4 linked regions of the Arabidopsis thaliana genome follow. The protein of the gene in region 3 interacts with the protein of the main gene of each other region in a pairwise test. Each region holds a gene or a part of one and is shown on either strand. Other genes may lie near its edges. The genes, in order: SELT, PHL1, RGS1 and AT5G47530.

Region 1 (6,109 bases), 7.9 Mb from region 3:
CAACGTCCGGTAATAGGCCAATGCCCAACTCTCTATCAAGTAATACACAGAGCAGAGTCCGTAGATGGTTGTATTCGCATTTCTCCCTTCCTTGCGGGCGAGGTGCCTGGCTGCGGCCATAGCATGGACACACGGGATCTTGTCTATATCAAAACATTTGCATGAACAACTTTTCATTTTCAAATCCACCAGAAAACTTACCGAGTTGAGATCAATCACGTTGTATTCTTGGTTGTAACTGTTAAGCTCAAACACAGTTAATTTGGCTGCAATTGGACATCTAATGTGCAATATGTTCTCGACAGTAGGCACAACTTGTGCTGTGATTGGACAAGAACTTGAATCTTGCCTATGCTCGTTGAACCATTCAGAAAACTTAGAAATCATCACATCAATCATTGGTAACAAGTGATATTTTCTCGCTTTTTTAAACACACCATTAATGGACTCCGCAGAATTACTAGTGTCAATGTTATACTTGTCTCCTTTAAAATGGCACCTCGACCATTTCTCAAACCCTACTTTCACAAGAAAGTCAGCAGCTTTAGGCCATAAACTTGTAAAATGACCAAACTCTTTCTCGAACTCACTCTCAGTATATGCATGAGCACAATCCCTGAACTTGACAGCAGCTCCATCCTTGTCAATTTTCACACGATCTCTCATGTTTTGACACAAATGCCATATACAAGCTGCATGAAGCGCATTCGGGTACACCGTCTTGACAACCTTCTTTATGCTTTGATGCCTATCACTAATAAAGACCAATCCGGGAACATCCGAATATACAGTTTTCAGCTTTTCTAAGAACCAAATCCAACTTACATCATTCTCGCTATCAATGATTCCAAACGCAAGTGGATAATGATGATGATTAGGATCTTGTGCTGTTGCAATAACCAACATCCCACCATACACAGTTTTAAGATGAGTTGCATCCACAACTATCACTTTCCGCATTGTCCTAAAACCTTCAATGCAAGCGCCTAATGCAATGAAGAGGTACTTGAACTTTTTCTCTCCTTCCAACTCCACATAAGTTACTGTCCCTGGATTTACCTTCTCTAACATGTAAAGATAAGAAAATAACATCGTGTAGCTTCTTTCCGGAGTCCCTCGCACATCACTAACATGTAGCATTTTGCCTCTTAAGGCAGTGGAGTATGAACAATGCACCCCAAGTCTTCCTCTTACAATCGACATAATGTTGTTTGGAGTTGGGGTCTCTAAATTTCCGGGATAGTCACAATGCAAAACCGATGCTATCAATCTTGGTGTGCCTCGCTGTATACTGTTGCTTGTAGTCTCAACACTCCGAGAGCATGTATGCATCTTTCTATGCACTCTAACACTCCAAAAATGAGATTTCTTAGTTCTCGCAACTCTTAGATACCAAGTACACCCTTTAGAAGCTTGGCGGCATCGTAGCATAAGTCTCAACGGGTCTGACTTAATAGTATAGACTCCAAAAACTTCTTGCTTTGCAGCTCTGTTAACCAATTCCCACACAGCCTCCCTTGAACAAAATTCTTGACCAATTTCAATACCCGTACCATCATCCCATTCTATAACCTGCGGAGTAACTTCTACACTTCGTGGAATATTGTGAATATCATCATAATCAATCCTATCATCCTCATCTTCTTCCTCAACAGAATTCACCGGCCTTTCCATCGGCCTTTCGACAGCCACGATCTCCGTACCTACTACATTCTCACAATCATTCACATCATTATCATATCCATCATGCACCATCTCACATACTTCATTTAAAACATCATCTTTTCTTACATTTACACCAACTGAACTTCGACGCTCCGGTACAGAAATTTCCTCTCTCCTCTCAACTCCTATACCATTTAATTTCTCCACATGCAAAACAGGAATCCGACTCTCTTCATCAGATTCTGTTAAAAATATAAAGACATCCTCATCATCTACAATATATGTCTCTCTCCTAACTTTAGACAGATTGTAACTCAGTTTCAACTTCACAGAAGCTTCATCAATCGCAACCTTCTTCATGATCTTGTCAACTAACATGAAACCCCCCAAATCTTTAATATGAAATCTCGGAATTCAAATTCAACTCACATTCAACCTACATTCCTTTGCTCATCACCTCAAATAACGTTTCGGCAACCTCTAATCGATTACTCTTTACTTTGCAAACCAATCATCAAACTATCAAATTGAATCTGGGAATTATATATAATTCAAAATCCTAATCTAAAATCACAATGCACCAATGTCAAAGGAAATATGAGAAGAAACTGACCTAATTCGTTGCCTTTTACGACGGATTTCAAGTCGGCGGCGGCCGGAATCGATGGTGGCCGACGAAGAAGATGAACGTCGACGCAAGAAGAAGAACACGACGACGAAGAAGAGAGAACGGAGAATCTCGATTTTCTTTATTTAGCTTTTGAATTTCTTTTTTATTTTTTTAATCAACTCATTAAGGGTACAACTGGTATATCACATTTTCGGTGACATTCACTGATGGCAGTCCAGATCAGTTTTTTAAAAAAAGTGGCATAAGTGATAAAAGTTCTCTTCTCCGATCGATCTCCTTCAAAATTTCAACTTCAAATTCCCTCTCTGAGATTTCAAAATCCGCCATGGACAAAACACAATTGATCTTGTTAGGACTACCGATTTTCCTGCTTTGTTCCGATCTCTTCAATCTCTTCACGCCTCCACCGCCGAAATCTCAGCACCAATCACCACCGTCTATCTCAGAAACCCTAGATTTCCCCGCACAGGTGAAGTCGAATTCATTCCTACATAACATCTCGCACACCACTTGTGTTCTAATCGTTTGTCTTTTTAGCAGAAGTCAACTGGTGTTGGATATGGAAACACCGTAGAGATCAACTTCTGCATCTCCTGCTCGTACAAGTACTTTTCCGATTTCTTTCTAAGTCAATGGCTTTAAGCTTTATCATCATTTAGATTTGATTCATTAGTCTTTGTATTGTAGGGGAACTGCTGTATCAATGAAGAAGATGTTAGAGAGTGTTTTTCCTGGATTAGATGTAGTTCTTGCTAATTACCCTGCACCAGCACCAAAACGTATTCTTGCTAAGGTTGTGCCAGTTGCTCAGGTGGGTGTTATTGGTCTCATTATGGGAGGTGAACAGATATTTCCCATGATTGGAATTGCGCAGCCTCCTGCTTGGTATCACTCTTTGAGAGCGAATAGATTCGGGTCCATGGCTTCCACTTGGCTTCTTGGTAACTTCTTGCAGTCTTTTTTGCAAAGTTCTGGTGCTTTTGAAGTTAGCTGCAATGGAGAATTGGTCAGTTCTTTTTTCTCTTATGCATGGTTGCAGTATCATATCACACTCTCGGCTTTGGCTAATCAAATCCAATGTTTTGTGTTGCCAGGTGTTTTCTAAATTGAAAGAAGGGAGATTTCCGGGGGAGATTGAGTTGAGAGATCTCATCAGTGGAACTATGACGAAACCATTCGTCACAGGCAGCTATTGATGTAGACTCTAGTCTAGAAGGTTCTGAAATCCTTACTGGCTTACGATCATAGACAACAATATAGTGTTTATGTTAAAAGCTAATGTGCCAGAACGTTCATGTTTTGTCTTTAACACCAACATCATGTGTTAATATACTCAAGTTGTGTGGTTGATACATAGCTCACATTGTTTCTTAAGGTTTTGCTTTGATACTCAGATGAATAATATACAGAGTATAGGAAATGGAGAATTCAGCTCAGTCAAAAGAGAGAGATTATTATATATATATTTATTTATTCAACATAGACTAAACAAGTAAACTCAGAAGAGTTTTAAGGTGTTGTGTCAGCCTTTGCATTGGTCGGAACGCTGGGATCGTGTCTGGTGTTTGCAGATGGATCGTCATAATCCTCGATGGTCATCATCAAGAATCTACTTGTAGTCCCTGTCTTCACAATTCCTAACAAGTAAAACCAATTCAAACCCGAAAACAGAGTCAGAACATCATAGTTCAATGAATCAAAGCATAAATGAAAGAAGCATCGATTATAAGAGATGAAACCTGAAACATGAAGAGTGTTTGGGGATGAAGATGTTACAAGTGGAAGTGTTAGTATGAGAAACAAAAGAAGACGAGTTCCAAAACTCATCTCAGTTTTGTTTAAGAGGTATGTATATGTATGTATGAGTCGTATATATTTATAGAAATGATGATTCAAAATCGATTCTGGTTGTGGTTATCCAATTGCAGTTTGTTTTTTCACGTGAACAAGAGACTAAAACATTAAAGCCTCTTTGTTGTTGTTGTTGTTGTTGTTGTGTGTGTGTGTGTGTGTGTGTTAAAGAAGAGTGTTAGTTTGGGAGATGGGGTATTAATGGTCGGAAGACAACCAAGGAAATAGTGACATGTGGCTTAGAATTGTCCCCACATTTGTTCACATCAAGGGGTGCACAATGTCTGAAATTCTACCCTCAATCCCAGATCTATACGATATGCTATGAAAAATACGATACCTGAAGTTCATGGGATTATCAGATTATTGTTCCGGATTTCGATATGGATCCACATTTGTCTATTACCCTCTCCGTGTTTTTTTTTTTGTTGATGTTGGAGGTTTTTGCACATCAATTAAAAAATTTATTTAACTTTTGTTTAGTTCTAAACGAAAATAATATTTATTGTCTATCTAAACATGATTTAACAAATGATAAAACAATATGCAAAATATAAATAGCCAAAATCAATATGAAATCTAATTAATTTTGCATTGAAATTTGAAATATCATCTAAATTAAAAAAACAATTTATTCTAAAACATCAACTAAAATAAATATCGAGTACATAGAAAAGTATGGTATATTTTTGAATATGTCTTTCATAAATCTTTTATTTCTATTTTATTAAAAATTAAAAAACAAAAAATACACAAATGTTAAAAACAAAACAAAACATATTGGAACCAAAAAGCTAAAAGCCAGGAACATAGCTACAAGCCTACAATTACACATTGGTAATGTTTGAGAATAAACCTGAAAGTTTTGTTATAGCCATCAATTTTTTATTTTATATATGTCAATTCAGAAATAAAAATATGTCAATTAAAAAAAAACTTTTATTTTACATATGTTAATTCAAAATAAATAAAAAATAAATAAAAATAAAGAAGGGATAAGTATAACGTATTGGCATTAGAAATTTTTTTGAAAAAATTAAGCTTTTACAATGGTATTTAAATTGATTTTTTTTAACTCATACAACAACAACCACAAAAAATAAAAATAGATTTGAGATATAGTGGAAGAGGATGAGTCAATGAGAGAATGAATATTTGTAGGATGGGAAGTGATAGAGTTACAATTTAAAAATAAATATGAGAGTTGAAAATTCTAATTGATTGTGTGTGAATAAAATTTTGTAGAGAAATATAGTAAATATATAATTTATATGACTTTAGTTTTATATTAAAGTGTGAGTTAAATGTAAGCACCAAAAAATAGTGTGACTTAATTATATATCATTAAATGTGTTTTTTTTTTTTTGAACATCAGCTTTATTAATCAAGAACATGATACTACATAGTCACGATGCAAATGCATCAGAAATATTAAAAGGAACATAGAAATGAAACACAGATGAAACATTTCCTTGTATCGGTTGCTTCGCTAAAGAATCAGCTACCATATTTGACTCTCTTTGAACCCAGCTAAATTGTATTTGACTCTCATTAAATGTGTTTTATTTGTGGTTTAATTGAAAATATTTTTTTTGTAAATAAATTGCCAAGTGGATTAATAAGGATAGTGTGAAATCTTACTTTTATTTATAAGATGTTCTAACTTGTTTATAAAATCATTTTGAAAACTTTTCTATGATATATATATATATATATATATATTAATAATAATTTTTTTTTTTAGTTTTTCATACTCTTATATTATTATTTTCAACTCTTTTTATATATCTGAATTGATATATTCGCTGGCGGAACATATAATTTCTTTTTTTTTATCCAACATATTCGGATTCATATTCATATATTTTGATATTTTATAATATTCAATCCGTGTCTAACTCACATAAATTTTGTCATGTGTTTTTTTAAATAGGTTTACCTAGTTTTGTCATGTGTTTAAGA
Region 2 (8,158 bases), on a different chromosome or scaffold from region 3:
TTTAAGGATTAAGAATACTCACTTTCCCCACCAAAGCTCATCCTCAGTAGTTGCATCTTTAATAATACGCTTATCTCTCGATCAGTCTTAGCACCAGAAAGCGTCGCCAAAGCTCCATTAGAAATGATAAACGAACCTTTCTCATACTTAATAGCTTGCTCATAAAGCTTAACAAACAACAAAATCACAAACTCAATCTATTAAATTTGTCTCACAAGCATTGATAAATATTCTGTATAGCAAAACATATCTAGAGCTATGAATAAGAAATACCTTGCTATATGAGAATTATGAGGGATAATTTAGACTGAGGCAAATTGGTTGTGGTAATTGTTTGATATGAGATGGTTATTTATAGACGATAATCTTAAGGTTTTGGTTGCATCTGTTTGACGGTTTGAGAATATTTTGGAGAGCAAGTAGAAAAATCATAGATACAAATCAAAAATTAGAATGATACTCACATGTTTAAGGGAAGATTGCGAATCATTATATAACAATAAAAATATTTTTGTTAACACATTTACGTTAGAATGTTCTAGATATTTTAGTTTAGGTAATATTCTGATATTCGAATATCTTGAGAATATATGCTTGTTGTTAGATTACAAATCTAAACAAAAACAATACGCAAGTGTTAATGTGGTTTCCTTTTTTGTAGAGAAATCTTGTCAAAAAATATATTAACAACGATTGATGAAAATTAAGGAAAATTTGAACTCAAAATTTGAAAAAATATAAATTAGCTATGGAAGATGTTAAAGATTACCATTTTTGTAGGAAAGAACTCGATCACATTTATGTTTATTGTTAGCATTCGAATTATTTCATTTTTGGCAATAAATCTTTAATGTCATAACTAAAAACCATTAGAATAAATTATTTTTTATTAGCATTAAATTAAAACGTGAATAAAATTAATTTATTCTTATTAAATATTGATTTGTTAGAACAATATATCAATTTATAGAGTTTTTTAGATATGGCATTAAAATATTATTACGGTTTATTCTAGAATTCTATTTGATTTGAAAATAGTTTTTTGTTATAACTACATATACGATTTATATATTTTCAAATCAAAAACAAAATTTTGTATAAATATTTTTAGGAATAAAGCCAATTAAGAACAAAAATACAGATTTCTCTAGTATATTGTATGTTTATTTGAGGTAACAAAAATTAATGCATAGTTACTTACCGGATTTTGTGTTGCAATTGATAAAAGAAGAATAAATTTTGGTAAGATATCATTAGCATTTAAAACTAAAATTATTTTCGAATCAAGTAATTGTAAATATGGTTAGTTATGATTGATTTCCGGATTTTGTTAATTAGGATTTTAGCATTAATGAATTCGGTATAGTTTTAGGGATTGATTTGTGCAATTTATTAGGGTAGTAATTAACAATATCTATGTTTAGGTAAGTAGTTAGTGCAATATCTTAATTGTTAATCAAAAATTTGGTCATTGTCCTAAAGAAAATATCTTGTCTGATTGATTTTGTAGGGACTAAACATACAATATCAAAAATTGAAAAAGGATTTTTCGACACAAATCGTCCCCAAAAATGTATATGTAGATATACACAATTAGTCTTTACTCTTTAGTTAGTGTTGCAGCCATGCAAGGCCAAATCAACTGCTTCTAAACTAGAACAATACAGAGCTAAGAAAGAAACAGATTCTTTTAACAAAACTGGAGTTGGTTTCCACAATTAATTCCCAATAAACATGTTTCGTCAAACGAGATCAAATTAAACATGCTTTAATCTTCTCTGACACGTTTCCTTGATGCTGAAGCAGATTCATTTTGGTCCCCTGTTAGTGTCTCAAGACCAACTTCAACTTCTGCAAATGAACCATTGCATTGCTTTGGTGATGCTTCTGAAGAAGAGCTCTTGTTGTCTTGTATCTTTTGTTGTTTCTCGAACATCATCTGTAGGTACCGGCCCTGTTTTTCAATCTGTAACTGCAGTGACCGTTGGATCTGGCATATGGTTTAGACAAAATCAGATAATACTCATGATATTCACAACTACTACTCTATCTAAGTTCGAAATCAGGTAAAGAAGGATAGTTTTTTAGCAGTTAGGCATGTAAAATCATTACCTCGAGCTGCTCGTGGAGACGTTTCTGCACTTCCATTTGTAACCGTAGAGCTTGTGTGATCTCAACGCTCCTGGAAAAGAAATAGTAACATAATCATCTAGCAAAATATACATACAAGAATATCTGAAGAATACGAAGAAAGATTACTGGTTTGTTATGCAGTCAGAAGACTGAAGATTCTTACGTTTTCATGTCAAGAGATTTGATATCTTCAATAGATGTCATCTTCTTCTCTTGAGGTTCTCCTGTGCAAGAAATAAATAAAGTTCATACATTCGTAAGCTGTTTGTCGAGAGTTTAGGTTCTTCTAGAGAGTGACCAATACTTTAAAGCTTAGAAAAAGTGCAGTAGTATTATGTTAAAGTATTTTAACTCCTTACCTGTAACTTCCGAAGTCTCCGGTTTATACCTTGCCGTTCTATATTTCTGTAGAAAAGAAGTTCAACAGAAAGACGGTGAGAAATGAGAAATTAGCTTAGCAGAGAAGCAGTATGAGATACAATAACAAAATAGTATATGGATAAGAACAAACCTGCAAATGGCTTTTTACATGATAAATGGTCAAGCCAGGGTTATTCAAGAGCTTCAAAACAGCCTTAGGGGTGGCTCCTATGATGGAAATTATAGAAGAATCAGTGTACGGTTAACATCCTTGAGCAATTATTTTCAGGAACAATAGAAGGAGAAAGCTTACGCACGTTCACTACCACCAAGCTGATTAACAGCTTCAACGAATGCCTCGTGAAGTTCTGGTGTCCAACGCATACGTTGTTTAGATGTTGCTACACTAGATGATGAGTTTCTGCCGCTGAGCTGGTCCTCTGATGAAACCATCTGTTGCTGCTGGTTAGCTGTTATATCTAGCCTTGGTACATCCAAAAATGGTGTAGGTATCTGATACCAATTATGCAAAACACTGATTAAATAACATAAGGACAACCAACAAACATAGAGACCATATATGGCTAGAGAAACTGAACCTCTGAATTTGGATTGTGGGAACTTGAATCTCCAAGAAGTTCAGACCAATTTGGCTCAGAACCATCGTCAACAGAAATCAGCTGATCTGCCCAATCTTGCCATTCACTTTTCTTATGAAGTTCCACGGATGAGTCCACCCTTACTCCACTACTCTCTGCTTGTAGATTCTGAACAGGAACATGATCAGAGAAATCAAAGAACTCATGAAGTGGATCTATGAACTCTTGAGGGTGATGATTAATCAACGAGGATTGAGCTATCAAAGGACAATCCTGCATAGCCAATCTGTCTCTAGGCACGGTGGAAACAGGTGGCTGGTTTTGCAAATTCCTTCCATGAGGCAAGACAGCTGAAACATTGCAGTATCCAGAGGAAGAAGGAAACAAATAACCACCAGAATTGCCACCAGAGACCGACTGACACGGTACAGGGTTATTCATCAGTTCCTGACCTGATGAAACCCAAAAAGAGTTAGGCAACTTGTGGTATCTGTCTTCTACACTAGTATGAAGAGCTGAATAAGATGAAGACATAGCGGTCGAATATCCGAAATCATTAGCCAGAGTCATAGCACAAGAGCAGTTTTGCAAAACACCACACAGTATCCTAATTCAGAGTGTTGAATGGCAACGAGAAATGAGACACTAATACACAGAATATAACTTTATGCAAAGGAGATGAACCATTGAATCAATTCCCTTACTATCTAGTCAAAAGAAACAATCTCTCAAGAATATTTCTAACGTTTTTGTTTTGCTCTAGATCACAAACTCTACATGGAGAAGCATCTACATGTGGATAGTGAAAGGACATTACATAAAGGATATGGAATCAGTACTCAGAGAATGAAATTTATGTCCACTTAGGCAAAGTTAAATATGGCTTTTGATGAAACCAAAGAGACGTGTTAAAGAAGAAGCTACCATGAACAGAATCAAATTCAATAAAAACTAAAACTTTACAATCCTAAAGACAATTCTAGGATCCAAAGCTAAATGGGGTTTAACATCATCACAAAGTCAACATAAAAATCAAACCTTTTGATAGAAACTTCAAATCATAAATTAGGATCAGAGAAACTAAAAGCTGTGAACTTTGAAATCAAATCACACAAAATCAGCTAATCCAGTGCTTAATTCGATGTTTAAACTAAAACCCTGATTGAGAATGATAAAACCCTAATCAAAGAGTAAATGGAATCGTCGAAAAGAATCTTACTTGACTCAGAGAACACAGGGCCCTGATGAATGATTATTGATTGATCAAAGAACACTTTTTTGTTTTGTTTTCCTAAACTATCGTTTTTACGTCTCTGTTGTTTCCAGCTTTTGTTTTTTCCTTTAATTTATCAAGACCGTTAGATTTTAACACGTGTATTTTATCAACGACTGAGATTTTTGTTGAGTACGAAAGTTGTATTATCTCTGTCGTAGAAGATCTCTGCCTCACTGGTGGCTGTGCAAAGTGCAAAATTAAGGAATTAAGGGACCTACATTTTTATTGTTGTTTTGTTTGAAGAGTATCTTATTAAAATAGGCACAAATTGGTAAAGATCTTCGGATTTAGGCATATTAGATACGGAAATTTGAGTGTATAACCAAAAAAAAACTTTAATTAAGTAACTAGTTATTCTAACCATATCATTACAATAGAATACAATTTATAATAATGTCATATCCTACTATATTATTTGGGAAGTACATTTTAAATGTAACCTTAATTTTTGTAAGTAATTACATAGGTATGCTATTAGAAATAAAAATTTAAAGAATAAATTAATTTATCTCTTTAAAGATTAGAAAGTCAAATACTAATTTAATTAAAGAACGAAATACATTATTAATTTCCAAAAATAATAACCAATCAAAATCAACATATAAGATTTGATATATAAATTTTAATTAATTTAATTTAATTAGAAAAACGAAATACATTATTAATTTTTAAAAAAATAACCAATTAAAATCAACAAATTAGATTTGATATCTAAATTATCATATTAATTTTTTATTAATTATTATAGTTCACTTCTCATCTTTATATGATTCTATTTTTGCGAAAAAATAATATCATCATTATAAAAAAAAAAGAATTAGAGTTTTTTTGCATATGCATAATTTGAATTTTTAAAAACGAATATAAACTGTTCAATACATGAATAAATATTATAACGGATGAAAAATAGATTTAAGAAAACTTTCTACTGAGTAACGGGTCATAATTTGAGATATTTATATTCAATTTCATACATATTATATTGAAAATTTATAATCTTATATACTACAATAATTAATAATATATTAGATTTTTTTATGTGTATGATGTGATTCAATTTTTAATACAAGCTGGAAAATCCTAGAATTGACGGTTTAGATCAATATTAATACAAGATGGTATACTACAGTTGGAACTCTTAAATTAACAATCAAACTACAAGTGTATAATCTTAAACATTAAACAATATAGATAATATCAACAAAACATATACAACTCACAGTTTACTATACATTTAAAATAAAATAAAATAATATTATATATTTTTAAATCATCTTTACAATAAAAAATTTTAGTTTAACTAAAATATAAACCTATCTGCGGTATACTGCAGGTTAATATCTAGATTATAGGGCTTATTGGATCTAAAGACGGATCATCAAAGATTTTCTAAACTGAAGCAAAATATATTGAATATTCGAATATCTATCTGTTACCAAATTATAAACAAATAAGTTCGTAAAACAATTTAGTATTTTATATATGAAATCAAATAAATCTTAATCACATAAAAATTAGCACAAAAAAAAGAATTCAACAATTAAAAATTTATCAAATCTCTATGTGTTATAGATTCAATCTCCGATTCTCACAATGAACTCAGCTCAAGAACACGAACGAACAAGTAAAGAAGAACACAAGACTCAATTTGTTAACCCGGTTCAGCTAGATTGGTGTGATCTAACCTACGTCCGGAGCCGAATCAATCCGGCAAATTCACTAGATCAAAGGAAGAGTTATGCTCAAACTTGAGCTTACAACAATGGCGGATTCTCTCTCTGTTACTCTCTCTCTCTAAGAACAAGAATTACAAAGGAAGAAGAAAGTGATGATGACTTTATAACAAACTCGGGTTGGTTAAAACCTTATCCCGTGAGAACCGAAGACCCTCCACTGCAGTTAGAGACTCCTCTTTACTTCATCATCTTTCGGTTTACTCAGCCATCCCAAAACCGGAGATAACCGCCTGGTCCAATGTCCTTAGTCTGATTAAACCAATCAAACCAATGAAATTGAATCAGAACTATAAACAACAACACTATGTTATATAAGTTTTGATACTATATTCGAATAAAGTATAATATACCTTTTCAATTTGTATTCTTTAACTAATTTAAGCTAACTAATATATTTGCTAATCTTATACCTATCAAAACAGACTATCGTTTCTTATCAGTATAGTATTTTTGCAAGACTTTTTTGGTGGATTTGGGTAAAAGTGCATTCGGGTCATATGGTACATTCCCCTATTAAATAAATATGGTGCACTCTTATGTTATTAGCTAAAATGTTTAGATTATAACTCAGAGTCATATCATTAATAAACTTAATATTAATAAAATAAATGGCTTTTTTGCAAGACGGATTTGGAGGGACGGGTTATTGAATCAACATTAATAAAAAAGTAAAATATAATTAATCCACCGTTTCAATACGGGTTAAAACTTTAATTTATTATTTTTTAAGACCACTAATATTAAGCATATAAAATCATCCTAATTTAGAAAAGATTATATAAAACCAAAAATGTTATGTGGTATGTATAATGTTACTATATATAAAATTAAACTATAAAATATAAATTTATTAGAGAATGATACAATTTACAAAACTTTTATATATAAAAAATAATTCTTAAATTTTAAAAATTACTACTTTAAAAAAAAATCACGGGACGGGTAAAGAAATGACAGAACGGGTTTTATTTTGGAATTGGGTTGTATGGTGGATGTATTTGAATCAATATTAGAAAATTTTAAAATATTATTAATATGCTGTTTTAATAGGGGTTAAAACTTCAGTTTTTTAACAATTGTCTCATGGATTCGTGGTATAGCGTTACTTAATAGCAATTATAAACTGTAAAATATAAATATTTTATAAAAATAAAATTTGCAAGTTTTAATATATTATTTTTAAAAAATAAATCGTTCCGCGGTCTACTGCGGGTTAAAATCTAGTTTGTCCATATTGCAGGATACATAGTTCTTTTTCTTTTTTTTTTTTTTAATTTTTTTTTAAGTCTTTGTTTTTTCTCCTTCTATTCTATCTTAATAAAACAAAAAATATATAAGATTCTTATTATAATTATCTTTCATTATCGCATCTACCACGAAGTCACAATGATTATTTATTATTGTTACTGCCACAACCGTATCATCACAACCACCACTGTCAACGTTATTGTTAGTGCCACCACTACCACTGCTATCGTCACCACCAGCACCACCGCTACCGTTAACGTCACTACTACGGTTTACCTCGATTATTTGAGTTGCCAATATTGTATCTCAGAGGATATAGTTGTTTGGATCAGATCGGTTTAACTCGATTATTTATCACTATCACTGCAACAATTGTATCGACACAATCATCACCGTCAACATCACTATTAGTGCCACTAGTACCATTGTCGTCATCACCACCACCGCTACTGTTAACACTACCACCGCTATCGTCAACGTTACCACTGCGATTTACTTCGGTTGCTTGGGTTGCCAATGTTGTATCTCATAGGGTATAGTTTTTTTTGGATCAGATCGGTTTAGCTCAATCATTTGTTTGTCTATTGTTCGTTCTATACTATTTAGTTTTATTTTATACTATTTTATTGGTGTGTTTTAGACAAATATTATTTACTATTTTAATAATTTGTATCAGATTTCAAAAATTTAAATCAGGTTATAAACCGAAAAAATCTATGTTTTATTAAAAACTATTAGATGATTTAATTAGTCAATTTTATGAAATTAATCTAACATTCAAATCACTTGGGAAAAAATGTCGTATC
Region 3 (8,397 bases):
ATAGTGAGTTTCTTTGGTTGTGTTCTTGTGTCTGATCAGAGAAGCATAGAAGATGAAAACGAACGATCGAAGAATGTTTTGTTAGAGAATTAATTGACTGTGAAGAAAGCAAGCAAGCGAATTTCACAATTTGATCAGAAAAAAGGAACTTTTTTTTAATATAATTTTGGTCCTGGGAAAGTCTGCAAATTTGGCGTTGATAGAAGTGAATGAAGAAGAAAGAAAGTTGTGGTGTCTCTTTATGCGGACTTATAAAGCGATCAGATCTCTTTCTCAGTAAATAACATAACAAATTATAAGAAAATTTGTGATTATATGTCACATATATGTTTGATTGTAATGGAATATAACATCATGATGATCAATACATGTATGCATGTGTTATGTGTGTATATAGACGTGTGCATCCAAAACTTGGTTTGAGTGGTAGAACAAGTTATCTATCTATCTATCCAACGGATCTTTATAGTAGTTTATTAATATCTGCTAATAATTTGATTATATTACTCATGAGTCCTTACATAGTTATCCACTATGATGACATCCTCATTCTTTTTCATGTTTATAAGGAGTATTATTTTCACCGAAAATAGAAGTAAATTTTGTTAAATTCATTTTAGTGAGAGTTTTCATGTCTAGATGTTATAGAGTTTTCATTTTAGTTTGAGTTTTAAACAAAGATAGAATGAAGATATTAAGATTGAGATATAAGAATGAAAAGGAAATAACATTATCACAACTAATTTGTAGCATTTTCGAAAATTTATTCATAATAGTCTTGGAACAGAAAATAGATGTAATTACTATTTAGAGAATTCCCCATAAGCTAAACAATTTAACCAAAAAAATATATTGAAATTAACTAATTTGGTGAAAGATAAACTGATAAAGATTCCTTTTAGTTTTATAAACTATCTTGGAGAGAACATCGACAACACCCAATAATTGCTACCCATATATATACCAAAACCATATGGTAGACAGCCAAAAATAAAATAAAAAAAACTTCTTTGGGAAATAATATTTATTTATGGTGAGATGAGAACCACTAATATTTGGGAAAGATTCACCATAATAATGAAACATTAATTTAAACTTTTTTTTCATTCGCTGACAAGACTTCTTACCTACACATATAAGTTTTATTTTTTGAACATTTAATTTTTATATGTTAACAGCAGAATAAATCTGGCTAAGTTACTGAATTTAGGGTTTAATTGACATTTCTTGCAGAATTTTACTGAATAATTTAGAGCTTAAATGGTAACAGATGATTTTTTTTTTTAAAAACTTACCTAAAGACATTTTATTGCTGCTCAACAATATTTAATTTTATATTTTATAGATATTTAAAACTTTTAATATCATTTAATCATATGATAAACCTAAAAAATTCTTCAACTTTCTCTTTTCAGTAACAAATTATATTCTAAAATTGAAATATTTGATGACCATCCCACCTTCTCGTTATAGATGTTGTACACGTCAAAATATAGTGGTGGAAAAAAACATTATGTCAAAATGTTGATGAAAAGCCTTAGCGAGGCCAATGGATATGTCATCACATCATGAAACATGTGATGCAACATCATCACTCTGCAAGGACATGAAGATCAATCTGCAGGTGCTTTTTTATTCTTGGTGAAACAGATGGCATATACGTATAAATTCTTCGAGATATTAATTAGTATGGTTCCATAGTTTTTGTCCGGTATACACATTTAAAACTAAACCAAAATCCGAACCGGACATTTTCTCTTACAGTTAGGTATAACAAGAGAGAAAATGACATGTACAAGAAATGTGAAGGAAGATTACATGGATTGGATTGCTATGAACATTGGTTTGGGTTCTGGTCTAGTACCAGTTTTAGACTCCTTAACCGGGACTACTGCATCTGGAACTCTTTGACATATGTTCTTGATAGAAAGGATCATCAGAGCCTTGAACTGAACTCAGTCTTGGAGATGAAAAACTGTATCCTTCCTTATGCATTGCCTCGTGGCAGCTTTCTTCTTCTTTGAACTTGATGAAGTAGATGGATGACCAGTAATCTCTTACCAAGTTCTTCAAATTCATGAGCACAAAAAAATGAGAATCAAGAGAATAGCTTGAAGGCGTGCGTAAGAGAGTGAAAGAGAGATGTTATTTTACCATCTTGATCAATTGCATGACTTCGTTTAATGCGTTCTTGAAGAGATCAGTGTGAGTTAGATCTTGAGTGGTTAAGATCTCTTGTCGGGTTTTATGAGATAAGTTCAATTCCATTTCCGCTCCTGTGTTTTAAGGAATTACTAGTTAGATTTATAGAGAGAACACACGAGACAGGTCTATAAAGAAGAGGGAAGATGGATATGTAATTAACCTGCGACGATGAACTTCTCCATGATATGTCGAGCCATGTAGATTCTTCTTATCGAATCATCTTCCGGGATTTTACCATGTTCATACACCTCTTCAAAAAAATGCAATGTTTCTCCAGCGTAGCAGCTACCAGCATATAACGAATTAGTTTAAATAAATGGTGAAACCGGGATATATATGAGGTCAGGTATTGAATGGAGTACCTATCAGCAAATTCCATAAACGAATGGCGAAATCTTTTATTGAGAAGAAGCTTATCGAGTGGCTCGTTTGGGTCAACAGGTCGAAACTCCTCCTTCCGAAATAATAATCCGCTATCGGGAATGCCTAGAGCTTGACCCATTCTTTGAAACTCAAAGTTTTGTCTTTTCTTCAAGCTGATTTGTGAAAGAAGAGGTTGGTTACTCGAGATGGAAAAGAAGACAACGACGAGAATCCCACCCTGAAAGAAGAATCAACTCAGAAGTCTGTTAAAAAGGTATTCCAACTGCAAATATAAAGAACAGTCCTGGTATTAGCTTTCATACCGTGACTAAAAGCACAAATCTTGAAGCAACCTGAAGCCAAGAGATTTCTTCATGAATCTCATTCAACACAAACGCTGTTACCCATATAACGATTGAAGTGGCTGAGACGAGAATTCCTTTCCAGAGATCTCTAAGCTCGTCAAAACGAAACTCTACATGTCGAACTGCTCTTGTGAATGCAATTAAAGCAAGGACATAGAGAGCATGAAGGCCTGCAACTGGGAAAGTCCATTGAAGACCCATGTGGCATTTATCGTTGAGAGGCTTTGTTGCGTGGATAACTAAATGCAAAATCAAAAGCTTTGAGTTATTATTATCCAAAACAAGAGAAACCAAGAACTGCTCAGTACATATAACGTTCAGAACAATTCTTACTTGCAGCTCCGAAGATCCATGGCAACAAAACAAGGGGGAGGAAAATGTATGATTTTACCGGAGGTAGACGTTTCCTACATTGCAAAGAATATGTAACAACCAAACAGCATTAAACTCAATTACACCAATAGAGATAGAATTGGAATCCAAAAACATTTTGATCAACATTGAACCTCACTTGACAAATATGAAGTATAGTTGAAATGCCTGAGTTATACGGCAGCTCATCAACAAACCAAACCCAAGTGGTCCTTCAATCCACACTGAAACCAAATTATACAAGACTTATTGATATAACTGTCAATTTGTTTACGAAGATGAGGAATCATGGTTTCCAAACAAACCTGCCCAAAGATAGCAATATCGCCACCAATGTTTCGTCCTGAATCGAAGCAAATTAACTGACATCTGAAAATTAAATATAAAACAGTCTATTAGTGTAGAAACTCAACAAATGAAGTGATTCTTAAGAGCAACGGAATCATCAAGTCAAGTAGTCTAACCATAATTGAGAAGAGAAGGTTGAAGCTGGAGATAACTTGAATAACAGGGATCCAGAAACTGCTACTGTTAGTACGAGGAGCCTTATGAATCAAACACGGTAACACTGAGCGCGATAACAGCCTAAATAAACAAAGTGAAATCCATCAGATAGAATCAACTTAATAGAGAAATTGAACTACTTGGAAGTTAACTCATGATACAAATCCACTCAATTAGTCCATTAAATCAAGCTTTTGAACTTCAAATCTAAGTTCAATAATCGATTCCGACATAATATATGAATCTTGCTATCAAGATACTGAAACCATCTAATTCCCAGCTAAAAGAAACTGAAACGAAACAAAAGACAGATCTTTTGATACATAACATCAAACACTTACAATACAAAGAGTTAAAATAGCAAAGAGAGACATCGTATGAAAATTTTAAACGATTAAAGACACAAAATTCGAGATTTTGACTCAAGTCAAGAGTCAACAAGCAAACCCAGTAAATGAAAAATCTAGATCTTCAAAACTAAAACCCAAAAATGGGATTTTTAAGCTCGAACACATACACGAAGAAGCAGATGACTGAAATTGCGACGGCGACGTAATCGCTGGGACAACCACCATGTAGAGCACATCCACTCGCCATTTCTATTGTAGCATATCAGCTCTCTCTTCTCCACTCGCTTTCTGGGTTTTTGAGATTTTATTTGGTTTCAAAGCTTGTTGCTTTAATGTCAAGGTAAAGTGTGCAAATTTCTATAAATTCAATAAAAGAAACTTCATTTATCGATGTTGAAACAAAAAGCTTTAAAAGATTCACACTTTCGCATAAGAGAAGAGACGTCTCTGTCTCTTCATTGTTCACGTTTCTCTCTTCTTCTCTGACTTTTTTGACCAGAAGACACTTCCTTTTTCCGGTAACAATTCTGATTGGTTTTTCACTTTTCACTTCTATAATTATAGATTTTTCATACTTGTCCTTTGTGACAAGTTGGTACATTAAAATTACAATAACCACCCTCTATTATAGATTTTTGACATAACCACCCTATACTATTGAGAGATTTCACAAACCCACCCATTAAAATTGTATACTTTTTTAATTCAACCCTGTTGTAAATTTTGTTTATTTCACTCCAATGACTTGATCTTGGAACTATATCGCCACAACAGACCTCCCACCAAATTGTTGAGTGCGTGCGAGGCCATTGGAACGATAAGACTCGACGACAAAACAGCTGCATAACCGTAGACTATACCGACAATCGAAGCCCTGAAAATTTCAAGAAACCGCAAAGAATTCAATAGGAAAACCTCGGAAATGTGATAGAGAGATGCAAGAACATGTTAAAGGCAATCATCTAATATCAAGATTCGGTCTACGCAATTCTCATCAGCATTGAGGTACCAAAATGTTCAGTAAAAACGGCTTACCAAACTGCAAAAGAATACTTTCTTCCGCTCCCGAGATGAAGTAAACCGAAAATGAGGCCAACCGCTACAATACCATTCCAATTAGTTCCGAACAAAGGCATTAATGCACCTCTAAACAGCAGCTCCTGTGAATACACCAAATCAAACCAATGAACGACATTTTCTAAAGGAGAGCCTTTCTGTGTTTTATTGTGATTGTTTATTGTTACCTCACTTATTCCCGGTAACATTGCAACAACAAGGTAATCTAGAGGTTCGAGGGAAGTGAGAATCTGCAAGTAGTGAATACCAAAGGAGACAATAAGCGGAGTTTAAAGAATCGTATAAATGTATATAATGTGTAATGTTTTGACCTGTCGGTTTGCTGCTTCACTAGAATCAGCAAAATCTGGCCAAGATTTAAGTAGCAAGAACCTACTTGACGATATAAACACAACGATTCCAGCAATTAAACCGAGATGCCAAGTTTCAAACCCAACTGCAAGAAAGATCATGCAATACAAAACATGTTTTGGTTACTGAATCTCTCAAAGGATTCTTAGTACACAACATAATCGTTTTCCGAGATGTTACATGGTACATCTATAGAGCAGTCTGGAACCAGTAATCCTTCAGTCGAAGCAACATGAGACGCCTGCAAGCGGTAACCAAATCAGCAAGATACAAATGCTAGAATCACAAAATCATAAACTTTCAGATTTGGGATTCACCTTTCTGATGATCAGACCTAGTGCAGCCATCAAACCGGAAGTTACAGTGCAAGCCTGAAGCACTTTGTCTCGAGGAGCAGCAACAAAAACATCAATGGAGTCCTTTGAAGTTGAAGAATCAACTTGAGCTTCCTCAAATCTTGGAGAAGAAACTTCTTCATCTGTAACATTTCTTAAGCCTATGTCTTTACCTTGTTGTGACTCTCTTTTGAGTTTCTTAAGTGATTTACGACTTGAAGAGGCTCTTACATCAAACTTAAAACCCAAAAGACAAAATAAACAGACTATAGTATAAGAGATCATCTGTTCGGACCAAGAAGCGGCAACATTAAAGAATCTTACTTGTACTCTTCGAGCATCATATAGCTTAGGGTTCGAGCCAACTGATCATCAAGTAAGCAAATTTCAACCAAAAATCTTTGTCGAATTCTCATATATATGATCATATCAAGTTAGGAATCGCACTTACCTACCTGGACGAAAAAGGAGATGAAGAGAAGTTGAAGCTCCTCTGCTCCAAGATTGCAGAGCGATGGAACCCATCCGAGATTTTCGCCTGCCTTCTCAAAGTTTGTCGCTTTGATTCATAAGAGAGACTCTGTTTCCAATATAAAACAAATGAAGAGTTTCACGAAGAAGAAAGCGTCGAAATGAGAGGTCTGTGTCTCGCCAGCTTCATACGGCGTCGTTTATCAGAGAAAACGCACCAAGAAAGAAGAAGAAATGAAACCAAATTTTTATTGTAACATATTTCAAAAGAAGAGGACATGAGTCCTTTTCTGATTTTCTGTACCGAATTCAAAGTTTAGAGCTTTTTTAATCTAATGTGGTGCAATGTCGATCAAAACAAGTTGAATCATTGACAAAAGCTAGTCTCTTTTTATTCTCTCTTATTAGATTTTTACATACATGATGAATAGAGAGACAGAACAAGCGATTTTAAGTATGTATGATAGCTCGAAACTATTTTTTTCGATAGATCAGAGAGGGATTCGATAAGTGGGATCAAACATCTTCAATATAAACAACAAGTTGCCTTTGCCCCTTGATATCCTGTAAAAAATGAACATTGTTTCAAGATTCAAATGTTTTTGGTTGTCAGTTCCATAGAGAAATGAAAAACTATCATTCACTACTGACCGTAGTTCCTCGTCCACATAGGTAATCTCTAGTTCACCGCGTGCAGTACCATCAGGTGCTTTTACCGGAATCTGCACACAGCAAACACTAATGATCAGTAAAAGAAGCATATGGTGTATGTATGAGTCAGTACTACCAGTTTCCCTTATAACAGCAAGAGTTTTGGTAATACTTACAAAGCCGAGAATTTTAAACACTTGAAGTTTCACAGCAACCGTCTTCGAGTTGAGGGGTGTCAAGTCTCCAGTTACCTATGAAAACATTGTAGTTTGCTAAGTCTCATTTTACAAACTCTGCTGAAAGAATATTGATGATAAAAACTTTGGTATTAGTCCTCCTTTGTTCTTGCCTAGTGAGTCACAATGGAACATGATCATACATATATGTGACAAAGTCTCAAACTTTCGTACATTTTGAATATTATATAGCAATGGATCACATCAATAGGTTTCAACATCACAGAGAAAAGAGCTTTGTATATGGTCTAACACAACGCAAAATCGCAAAACCTACTTGTGAAAATGGTACAAAAAGAGAATTCAGTCGCGGTTTGAAATATTACCGAGTTATAGAAAGGCCAAGTCTCCATTCTTTGCACCTTTAGTGTATCCATATTGATACATTGGTAGTTAGTTAACGATCTTAAGAACCTTGGTTTCTGTTACATTCTCAAGGAGACAGAGAAAATTACACAACAAGCCAAAAACAAACAACAACACAAGTTTCAAAGATTACAAGTTCTAACCTTTGCTTGCAAAATCGCAGCAGATGTTGTGTAAATGAGCTCCCATTTCCCATTGATCAAATCAGACTTCAGAGGCTCCTTGGTTGGGTTTACTGCTTCCACCTTACGTGCTAACTATCATGATTCAAAACAAACACCACTCAGATTAGTCTCTCAATCACATTCTCTATACCCTAGTGTACCAAAACTATTCTCAATGGTTCCCACATGAAGAGAAATCAAGAACCTGATCAATCAGAAGCTGATCATCAGGCGAGGCAGTGGCACCACGTTCAAGAGGCTCAATGGCTTCGACAAGTTCATGTTTGAGCTGTTTCCGCTTCTCGGCTCCACCGTTTCTTGGAGGAAAGCTGAAAACAGCTTGGATTCTCAATCTTTCCCGATCACCTTTTCGAATACTCAGTAACTTCGTCGGAACGGCGAAGCCACTGTCCGATGGATGATTAAATCCGGCGGCCGGAGACGTTAAAACTCCAGTCTTTAAGCACCAAGGTAAAGCCATGGATATCAAAACAGGACAAAGCTTTTCCAATGGAGTTTTAAAGAGTGGCTGGGTCGTTTCTGAGAGACTCTGTTCGAAGATAGACACATAAGAGAGGAAAAAGAGA
Region 4 (7,057 bases), on a different chromosome or scaffold from region 3:
AAATCTGTCCTTTTTTTTTAATTAGACGAGGAAAGATGCTACACAAGTTGTTGCAAATCTACAGAGGCAACAGGTTAATTCACGGTTGATTGCTTCTGATTATTTAGAAGCCAACATTGATCTCATGGATGTTTTGATTGAAGGGTGAGTCTTGTGTGTTACTATCATTGAAGTTATTAGTTGGTAGTTTTTCCAAATTAAGAGATACCACATTTTATCATTTTTATAGCTTTCCATGTTTTGTGTCAGCTTCGAGAACACAGACATGGCTTTACACTATGGTGCTATGTTTAGGGAGTGTATCCGTCATCAGATTGTGGCTAAGTGAGCCAATCGTTTCATTTTCTTCATTTTACGACCTATGGAGTAATTATGGATTCAGAGAATAACGGAAAATGTGTTTACTAACTTAATTTCTTTGGATTCAGATATGTTTTGGAGTCTGACCATGTGAAGAAATTCTTTGATTACATACAGCTTCCAAATTTCGACATTGCTGCCGATGCTGCTGCTACTTTTAAGGTTCCAAAACAAAACTCGCATTTTTAGCTTGGATCTTTCCCTGTCTGGGACTAGTAAACATGCAATCATAACTCCAAACCTGTCATTTATTTTCACAGGAACTGCTGACAAGGCATAAGTCTACTGTTGCCGAGTTTCTCACCAAGAATGAAGACTGGGTAAGTTATGTAGCAACAATGCACTATGATATATGCTTGAAGACAGAACATTGTAATTTATCCTCTGCAGGTCCTGCGTTCAAGTCGTATAATAATCTCAAACTTTTTGGTTTGCAGTTTTTCGCAGACTACAACTCAAAGCTTCTTGAATCAAGTAATTATATAACCAGACGGCAAGCTATTAAGGTAGGCTAACTTATACAAGAATCTAAAACATTGAAATGATGGTACTGGCTGATCAATCTTATGTACTGTATGGTGTAAATGTTAAACAGTTGTTGGGTGATATATTATTGGATCGATCAAATTCAGCTGTGATGACGAAATATGTGAGCTCGAGGGATAACTTGAGGATTCTCATGAATCTTCTAAGAGTACGATGCTTTACTCTCCGTTTTTTTGTTCTTGATTATAATAGTTTGGGAAATAAACTCAATCGCTTGAATTACAGGAGTCAAGCAAGAGTATCCAAATAGAAGCATTCCATGTCTTTAAGGTACCTACATTAACGAGATGTAACATAATGATGATTGTCACTTGTCAGTCCAACGTGATTGTACTGAGATTATCGTCACTGTTGTGCAGCTGTTTGCAGCGAACCAAAACAAGCCTGCGGATATAGTCAACATTCTGGTGGCCAACAGAAGCAAGCTTCTGAGATTGTTGGCTGATTTGAAACCAGACAAAGGTATGAAACTAATCTTGTTAAGTGAAACGCTTGTATCCGATCCTTCTGCTCCTTAACCTTATTAAAGCATTGTTTGGTTCATTTGGTTGACAGAGGATGAGAGGTTTGAAGCAGACAAAAGTCAGGTTTTGAGAGAAATCGCAGCCCTTGAACCTCGAGATCTTGCTTGAACCAACTAATGCAATTCATCCTTCCTTCCCTTTTAAAACACTCGAAAAGACATTTTTGAAGCATCTTGTTGTTTTTTTACATTAGGTAACCAATCTTCCTCTCACTTTCTCACCACACACACACACACACACACACACACACACACACATACACATACGAGATATCTATTCGATATATGTATTCATATGTACACTACTTCACTGTCGATGAAATAAAATGGTTTGTCAAAAGCTCACATCATGAATGTTGTAAAAGAGCACAAGAGTCTTTCAACTTCAACAACTATTAAACATCAAATGTATTAACTTAATCTCGAAAACAAACAAAAATTAACAACCACAAGCCCATAATGACCAAATAAACCAGAACATTTTACTCTAATCTTTACAGAGTCTACACGTATAGAGACCGACCATCGTTGCCTACTCGTTGACTTGTTTTCGCAGATGCCTCTGCTTTCCCTCTCTTTATGACTACATACCAAGTAAACCCTTCGAGCACAACCGCGACTATACCTAGTACTACGATTATGGCGGTGTAAGCGTTTCTCCACTGCTTCTCAGGGCTCAGGATGTCTAGTCCTTTAAAAACGTTTACCACCGCAAGAATGATCACTGAATAGCCTACAGTGTGGTGATAAATGTTCCAGTAGACTCTGTACTTGTGCTCTGGTTTGGGTCTCAAAAACATTGCAAACACCTAACGTGTGAAACAAGCAACTTAGTAATTGCAACATATTCATGACAAGTGTAATACTCTCTGTACTGTTAACTAAAACCTACCTGAATTGTTGCGAGGCAGAAGAGAGCGATCCCAACAGCACGGTGAAAGGTAAACTGAATCCCGGCTGATTCGTTGCCCAGTTTGAGACCGGTCGCCCAACCGGCAACACCAATGATGTAAGCAGAAGACTGGCAGAAAACATGAAGGTAGAACCAAGCAGGATCTGCTGATTTTGAGACTTTCAAGTAGCGAGCAATGATTGCTCCTATTGGCATCATTATACCCCAGCTCACACCGTTCAATATTCCATGTATCTGCAATAATGATTAGGAGTGATAAGTTTCATAAAACCAACTAACAATGATGGGATTGATAAATCTCATTTCATATGTGAGATTCCTAAAAAACATGAAATGAAGAAATTGATAAAACCATGGACTCACGTTGCGTTTGCGTAGCTTGGAAGCTCCTCCTGCTCCGGTAGAGGTGGATCCAGATGCACCAGAGACAAGGTTAAGAGTAGAAACAGAACGAACATTGTTGCCAGAAGTTGGATGAGGCAGAGGATTGTTCCCTGACAGTGACCCATCTTGCCACACAGTGTTAATGATTCCACCATTCGCAAGTGGAAGATTCAGAATTGCGTAGATGACCATCTCGTTGTTTTGGTAAGTGGCAGACAACTGAGAGACGTTGAAACTCAGCTCAGCTTCTAGGAGACTCGTTTGGTAGCTACTGATGGGTGACGTATAAGCCCTAACGGTGCCGTCTGATTGTGGATAAGCCACAATGGCTTGAGCTCCGACCATGCCAGTAGATGTGGGATTCACGGCCCATGCCACCCATTTCCCGGGGGTGAGCTTTGTGTGGCGATACGCGATTTGGAGATTGCCTGAAGAAGAATCGTAAGTGTAGTGGAGGAAGGAATCAAGAACAGGTAGGTCGTTGCAAGACTCAAAGAGACGGTTGGTGGAGAATTTGTAGTTGGAACATTTCTGAGCCAAGGCGGATTTGGTGATGATGAAAATGAAAAGAGAGAGACAAAGGAGAAGATTTGAGGATATGGCCATGGAAACAGAATCTCGAGTAATGATTAAAAGATGGATGAATGATAAGATTTAAGTATGAAGGGGAAGAGAGGAGAATGAGATTAAGTATGAATAGAAAGTGGAACAAGTAGGGTTTGGTTTGTTAGTTAATCTGTCTTAATACAGAATCTCTAATTCTCTTCACACGTGTCCTTTTTTCATAGTTTAATCTTTCTTTTAATCCTCTGCTTTTGTTCTTGTTCATCTATCAATTGCAATGTTTTACCTAAGAGTAAAAAATAGAAACATTATAAATGAAGCGTTCATTGTTTTCCCAAAAAGGTTTGACGTGTAATGTATTTCTTCCTTAAGAGTCTTTAACCCTCTCAAGCAAAAACCAAGAAATAAAAATATGAAGGGGTCATCTTCACGTTCAAAAACCAGTTCACACCAACTTTATTACGAGAACTCATTTCTCGTGTTTATTTTTTCTTTGTTTGTCATGAAAAATCTTTTTCATTGTATATAGGTTTTGTCATGACATTGCGCGTTAAGTTAGATTATAATCTTGGTACGCTTGGGAATTGGGATGATGATAAATTATTGAGCACACTAAAATATTAGGTTTCATTGGGTTTAGTGGTTCAATTGACGAAAGTAGACTAGCGAAGGGAGTAGTGGTTTTCGCGTAATAAAGGGCAAACACGTCTATGCCTGCAACTACTAACGTTGTGCATGTATGATGTACCCTAAGTAAACATCTACCACCTTATGAGTATGGACTGGAGCGGACCAGACCAACAAACTGTTTATGAGAGATTCCAATCCAAGGGAAGTGGTTGGGTTTAGCTATTTTTAGAGTTATGTTCTTCTATATATAGGCCGCGACCAACATTTCAACGGTTAAGACCATGTACATGAGTGATATTTTTAGAATATCATCAGTGTAAAAATTATTTTTTTATTAACCAAACAATTAGAATGAGTTTGATTAGTATCATTCCAGTGATTTTCTTGATATCAGTATCATCTACGTGACATCTCCTGATTGGTAGCATTTATTAAAAGTAAGAAAAAAAATATTTATCTATTAAACAAACATTATAAATAATACTAAAATTTTTTTAATGATACTTTGAGAATATCACCTATAAGCATGCTCTAACCAGGTGGATGTATAATAATGTCCTTTCTTGGTCAACGCTCAAATTACTACCTGCCACATGTCCCCCACTAGATTCTTTGGTGTAGCTGGGCTCAGTTTGAACTAGACTCTTTTATATGGGCTTAAGTGTTAATTATCAAAAAACAACCCAAAATGAGATATTTAGATATAATATGTTTTTGATGGAAAAAAAGGAAAGATATAATATGTTTTTTTGATGAATGAAAAGTATTACAATTATTCAAAAAATCACTAGTTTCCTGAAAAACAATACAAATTGCATAGTTTCAGAAGGATAATCTGATTTGGGTAGAGTTTGTTGATGTTAGAAATATAAATATTTTCTTTTATAAATAAAATAGGATGGAAAATCCATCATATTTGAAAGTTTTGTTGTGTCTAATAAATAACAGTAGAGTGTACATAATCGGTAACTTTTTTTTCCTTAACTAAAATTTTAAGTGAAACTAAAACAAAGGTGGTAAAAAAAAGTAGAGCCTATGGTAAAATAGGGTAAGAGGGTCCATAAGGGCCCAAGATGTTTTATTTTTGCTGAGCCCATTATTACCAATCCGAACCGAAATGGAAAAACTCCGGTCTCTTTCTTTCTCTCTCTCTCTGCCAGAGTTACTGCGTGTCTTTGATTTCCCAGAAGAAGGCGTTGAATCCTTTCGTTTTCCGATTCCATTTTTGGGATCTCTTGTTTCGTTTTCTTCTCTTTGGATCCATTCCATTCCCATGTTCCCCAATTTCTTTAATCGGTGTTGCTTCCACAAGGTAATTTTGTTTTCCTCTGCACTTCCCGAGAATAAAGAGAAGGTTTTTCTCAATTTTCCCCTTATGATTATCCCTGTAAATGCGAGTTTTTTGTCCTGTTTTGTCTAATGGGTCTTCATAATTCGTGATCATCAACGTTTTCTCTGTCTTGTGTGTGTATGTATGTGTGTGATCTTACATCTGACGGGAATGTAATGTGATGATCTCTCATGTAAAATTCTGTTTTTACTTGGTTTGATTGTTTCTATTACAATGCTCTGTTTTTGCTTTAAAGAGTTCTTACAATATCTCCTCCTTCTCTTTTGCGAAAATGGGTTCTTACTTGGGTTTAGTTTCTTAGGTGAAGTTTCGATTATTTTTTTGAATTGGTGTTTTATAAGTTTTGATGTCTCATCATCTTTTTCAGAAAGAAATGTGTGGCCTACTTTCATTTTCTAATGCCGTATATGAAGATTTTCATATTCAGGCAGATATTATAAACCTGCAGCAATCATTAACTCGATTCATCTTTAATGTGAGCCCTAAGGACAAGACTGAGAATTTTCTATCAGTGTTTAAGATTGCACTTTGTGTGATCAAGTGAATGAGTATTGTTGGTTGAATTGGGCCCGCGCTTGTCTTTTCTGTCTCAATTCTGTTTCTCCTTATGATAGAGAGAATATTTCTCTGCTTTCCTATTGGTGGCTTTCATGATTTGTGAATAGTCAGTATCTACCGACTTTAACTTAGATTCTTAGGGTGAGATTATAACTAAAGTTAGCTTTACTTGTTGTATATAGGCTTCATGAGCTTGTATAACAAGTTTCTCTAGGAGGTGTTAAAGAGCCAGATCAAGCTTTCAGAAGAGGTAACTTGTATTGCTGTCTTACTTTGGATCCAGAATGCGTTTATGTGCTGAATACTTTGCTTGTGATAGATTTTCTTAGGGTGGTTGAGAGCTGAAAGTTTTGATATTTAGTCAACTTTGTTCCACTGAACCTTCTAGGAAGCTACCTCAAGTAGACAGGTGATCTTAAAGATTCTCTTGTTTCTCTTAGATCTCAATCTTTACTGTTTCTCAAGTTTCCTATGCCAACTCTACTTATTCTTGTCTTCCCTCTTCCTCACTTTGGCTCTTTGTTTTGTCCTTAGCTTTGTTGACGGGCTTCAAGCCAGTGGTAAAGATATGCTTCTGTAGAAGGGTTAATCTTGAGCATTAAAGGACATGGCTTTCTACTCTGAAGACGACAAGAGCGAAGACTACCTCTTTAAGATTGTTCTAATCGGTGATTCTGCTGTCGGGAAATCAAATTTACTTGCCAGATTTGCGAGGGATGAGTTCTATCCCAATTCAAAGTCGACGATTGGAGTGGAGTTTCAGACACAGAAGATGGATATAAACGGGAAGGAGATCAAAGCACAGATATGGGACACAGCAGGTCAAGAACGTTTTAGAGCAGTCACTTCTGCATATTACCGAGGTGCAGTTGGAGCTCTTCTGGTTTACGATATCAGCAGACGGCAGACTTTTCACAGCATTGGTAGATGGCTCAACGAGCTACACAGTAAGAAACCTCTTATCTTTTCTTATCTGCTACTAAACAATCTCCCATTTGCTAATTGATTCAAGAATAATGAAAGTGAGGGGTGTCTTCATAAAACTGTTGCAGCACACTCTGATATGAATGTTGTGACGATCCTGGTGGGCAACAAGTCGGATCTGAAGGACTTGAGAGAAGTGTCAACAGCGGAAGGGAAGGCATTGGCTGAAGCACAAGGTCTTTTCTTCATGGAGACATCGGCTTTGGACTCATCAAACGTGGCAGCTGCATTTGAGACGGTTGTG

What was found.
Region 1: the proteins of RGS1 (region 3) and SELT interact in a two-hybrid assay, tested with the Arabidopsis thaliana proteins (one large-scale study listed by BioGRID).
Region 2: the proteins of RGS1 (region 3) and PHL1 interact in a two-hybrid assay, tested with the Arabidopsis thaliana proteins (one large-scale study listed by BioGRID).
Region 4: the proteins of RGS1 (region 3) and AT5G47530 interact in a two-hybrid assay, tested with the Arabidopsis thaliana proteins (one large-scale study listed by BioGRID).

Annotation. Positions count from the first base shown.
Region 1 is NC_003074.8:17,426,068-17,432,176, reverse strand, and holds SELT (SELT-like protein precursor), read left to right. Parts: upstream 1-2,553; 5' UTR 2,554-2,621; coding exon 2,622-2,765; intron 2,766-2,836; coding exon 2,837-2,901; intron 2,902-2,983; coding exon 2,984-3,302; intron 3,303-3,390; coding exon 3,391-3,492; 3' UTR 3,493-3,734; downstream 3,735-6,109. Other genes in the region: AT3G47295 (uncharacterized protein), read right to left, coding at 3,806-3,933, 4,036-4,123.
Region 2 is NC_003076.8:11,020,568-11,028,725, forward strand, and holds PHL1 (Homeodomain-like superfamily protein), read right to left. Parts: upstream 4,299-8,158; 5' UTR 3,663-4,298; coding exon 3,093-3,662; intron 3,007-3,092; coding exon 2,811-3,006; intron 2,722-2,810; coding exon 2,645-2,721; intron 2,539-2,644; coding exon 2,493-2,538; coding exon of another isoform or gene 2,446-2,492; exon of another isoform or gene 2,358-2,445; coding exon 2,297-2,357; exon of another isoform or gene 2,220-2,296; intron 2,183-2,219; coding exon 2,113-2,182; intron 1,991-2,112; coding exon 1,769-1,990; 3' UTR 1,413-1,768; downstream 1-1,412. UniProt on the Arabidopsis thaliana protein: Transcription factor acting as central integrator of phosphate starvation responses. Regulates FER1 expression upon phosphate starvation, linking iron and phosphate homeostasis.
Region 3 is NC_003074.8:9,528,892-9,537,288, reverse strand, and holds RGS1 (REGULATOR OF G-PROTEIN SIGNALING 1), read right to left. Parts: upstream 4,677-8,397; 5' UTR 4,407-4,676; coding exon 4,327-4,406; intron 3,891-4,326; coding exon 3,770-3,890; intron 3,675-3,769; coding exon 3,611-3,674; intron 3,530-3,610; coding exon 3,445-3,529; intron 3,341-3,444; coding exon 3,267-3,340; intron 3,173-3,266; coding exon 2,892-3,172; intron 2,807-2,891; coding exon 2,568-2,806; intron 2,491-2,567; coding exon 2,366-2,490; intron 2,277-2,365; coding exon 2,155-2,276; coding exon of another isoform or gene 2,146-2,154; exon of another isoform or gene 2,130-2,145; intron 2,068-2,129; coding exon 1,879-2,067; 3' UTR 1,660-1,878; downstream 1-1,659. Other genes in the region: AT3G26085 (CAAX amino terminal protease family protein), read right to left, coding at 4,892-5,033, 5,195-5,319, 5,404-5,466, 5,548-5,672, 5,768-5,828, 5,905-6,287, 6,378-6,447; AT3G26080 (plastid-lipid associated protein PAP / fibrillin family protein), read right to left, coding at 6,885-7,115, 7,221-7,295, 7,607-7,702, 7,790-7,903, 8,016-8,291.
Region 4 is NC_003076.8:19,277,746-19,284,802, reverse strand, and holds AT5G47530 (Auxin-responsive family protein), read right to left. Parts: upstream 3,430-7,057; 5' UTR 3,333-3,429; coding exon 2,706-3,332; intron 2,577-2,705; coding exon 2,322-2,576; intron 2,239-2,321; coding exon 1,933-2,238; 3' UTR 1,742-1,932; downstream 1-1,741. Other genes in the region: AT5G47540 (Mo25 family protein), read left to right, coding at 26-144, 250-324, 429-522, 621-680, 798-866, 956-1,054, 1,132-1,176, 1,266-1,368 and 1 more; RABA5a (RAB GTPase homolog A5A), read left to right, coding at 6,437-6,776, 6,882-7,057. UniProt on the Arabidopsis thaliana protein: May act as a catecholamine-responsive trans-membrane electron transporter.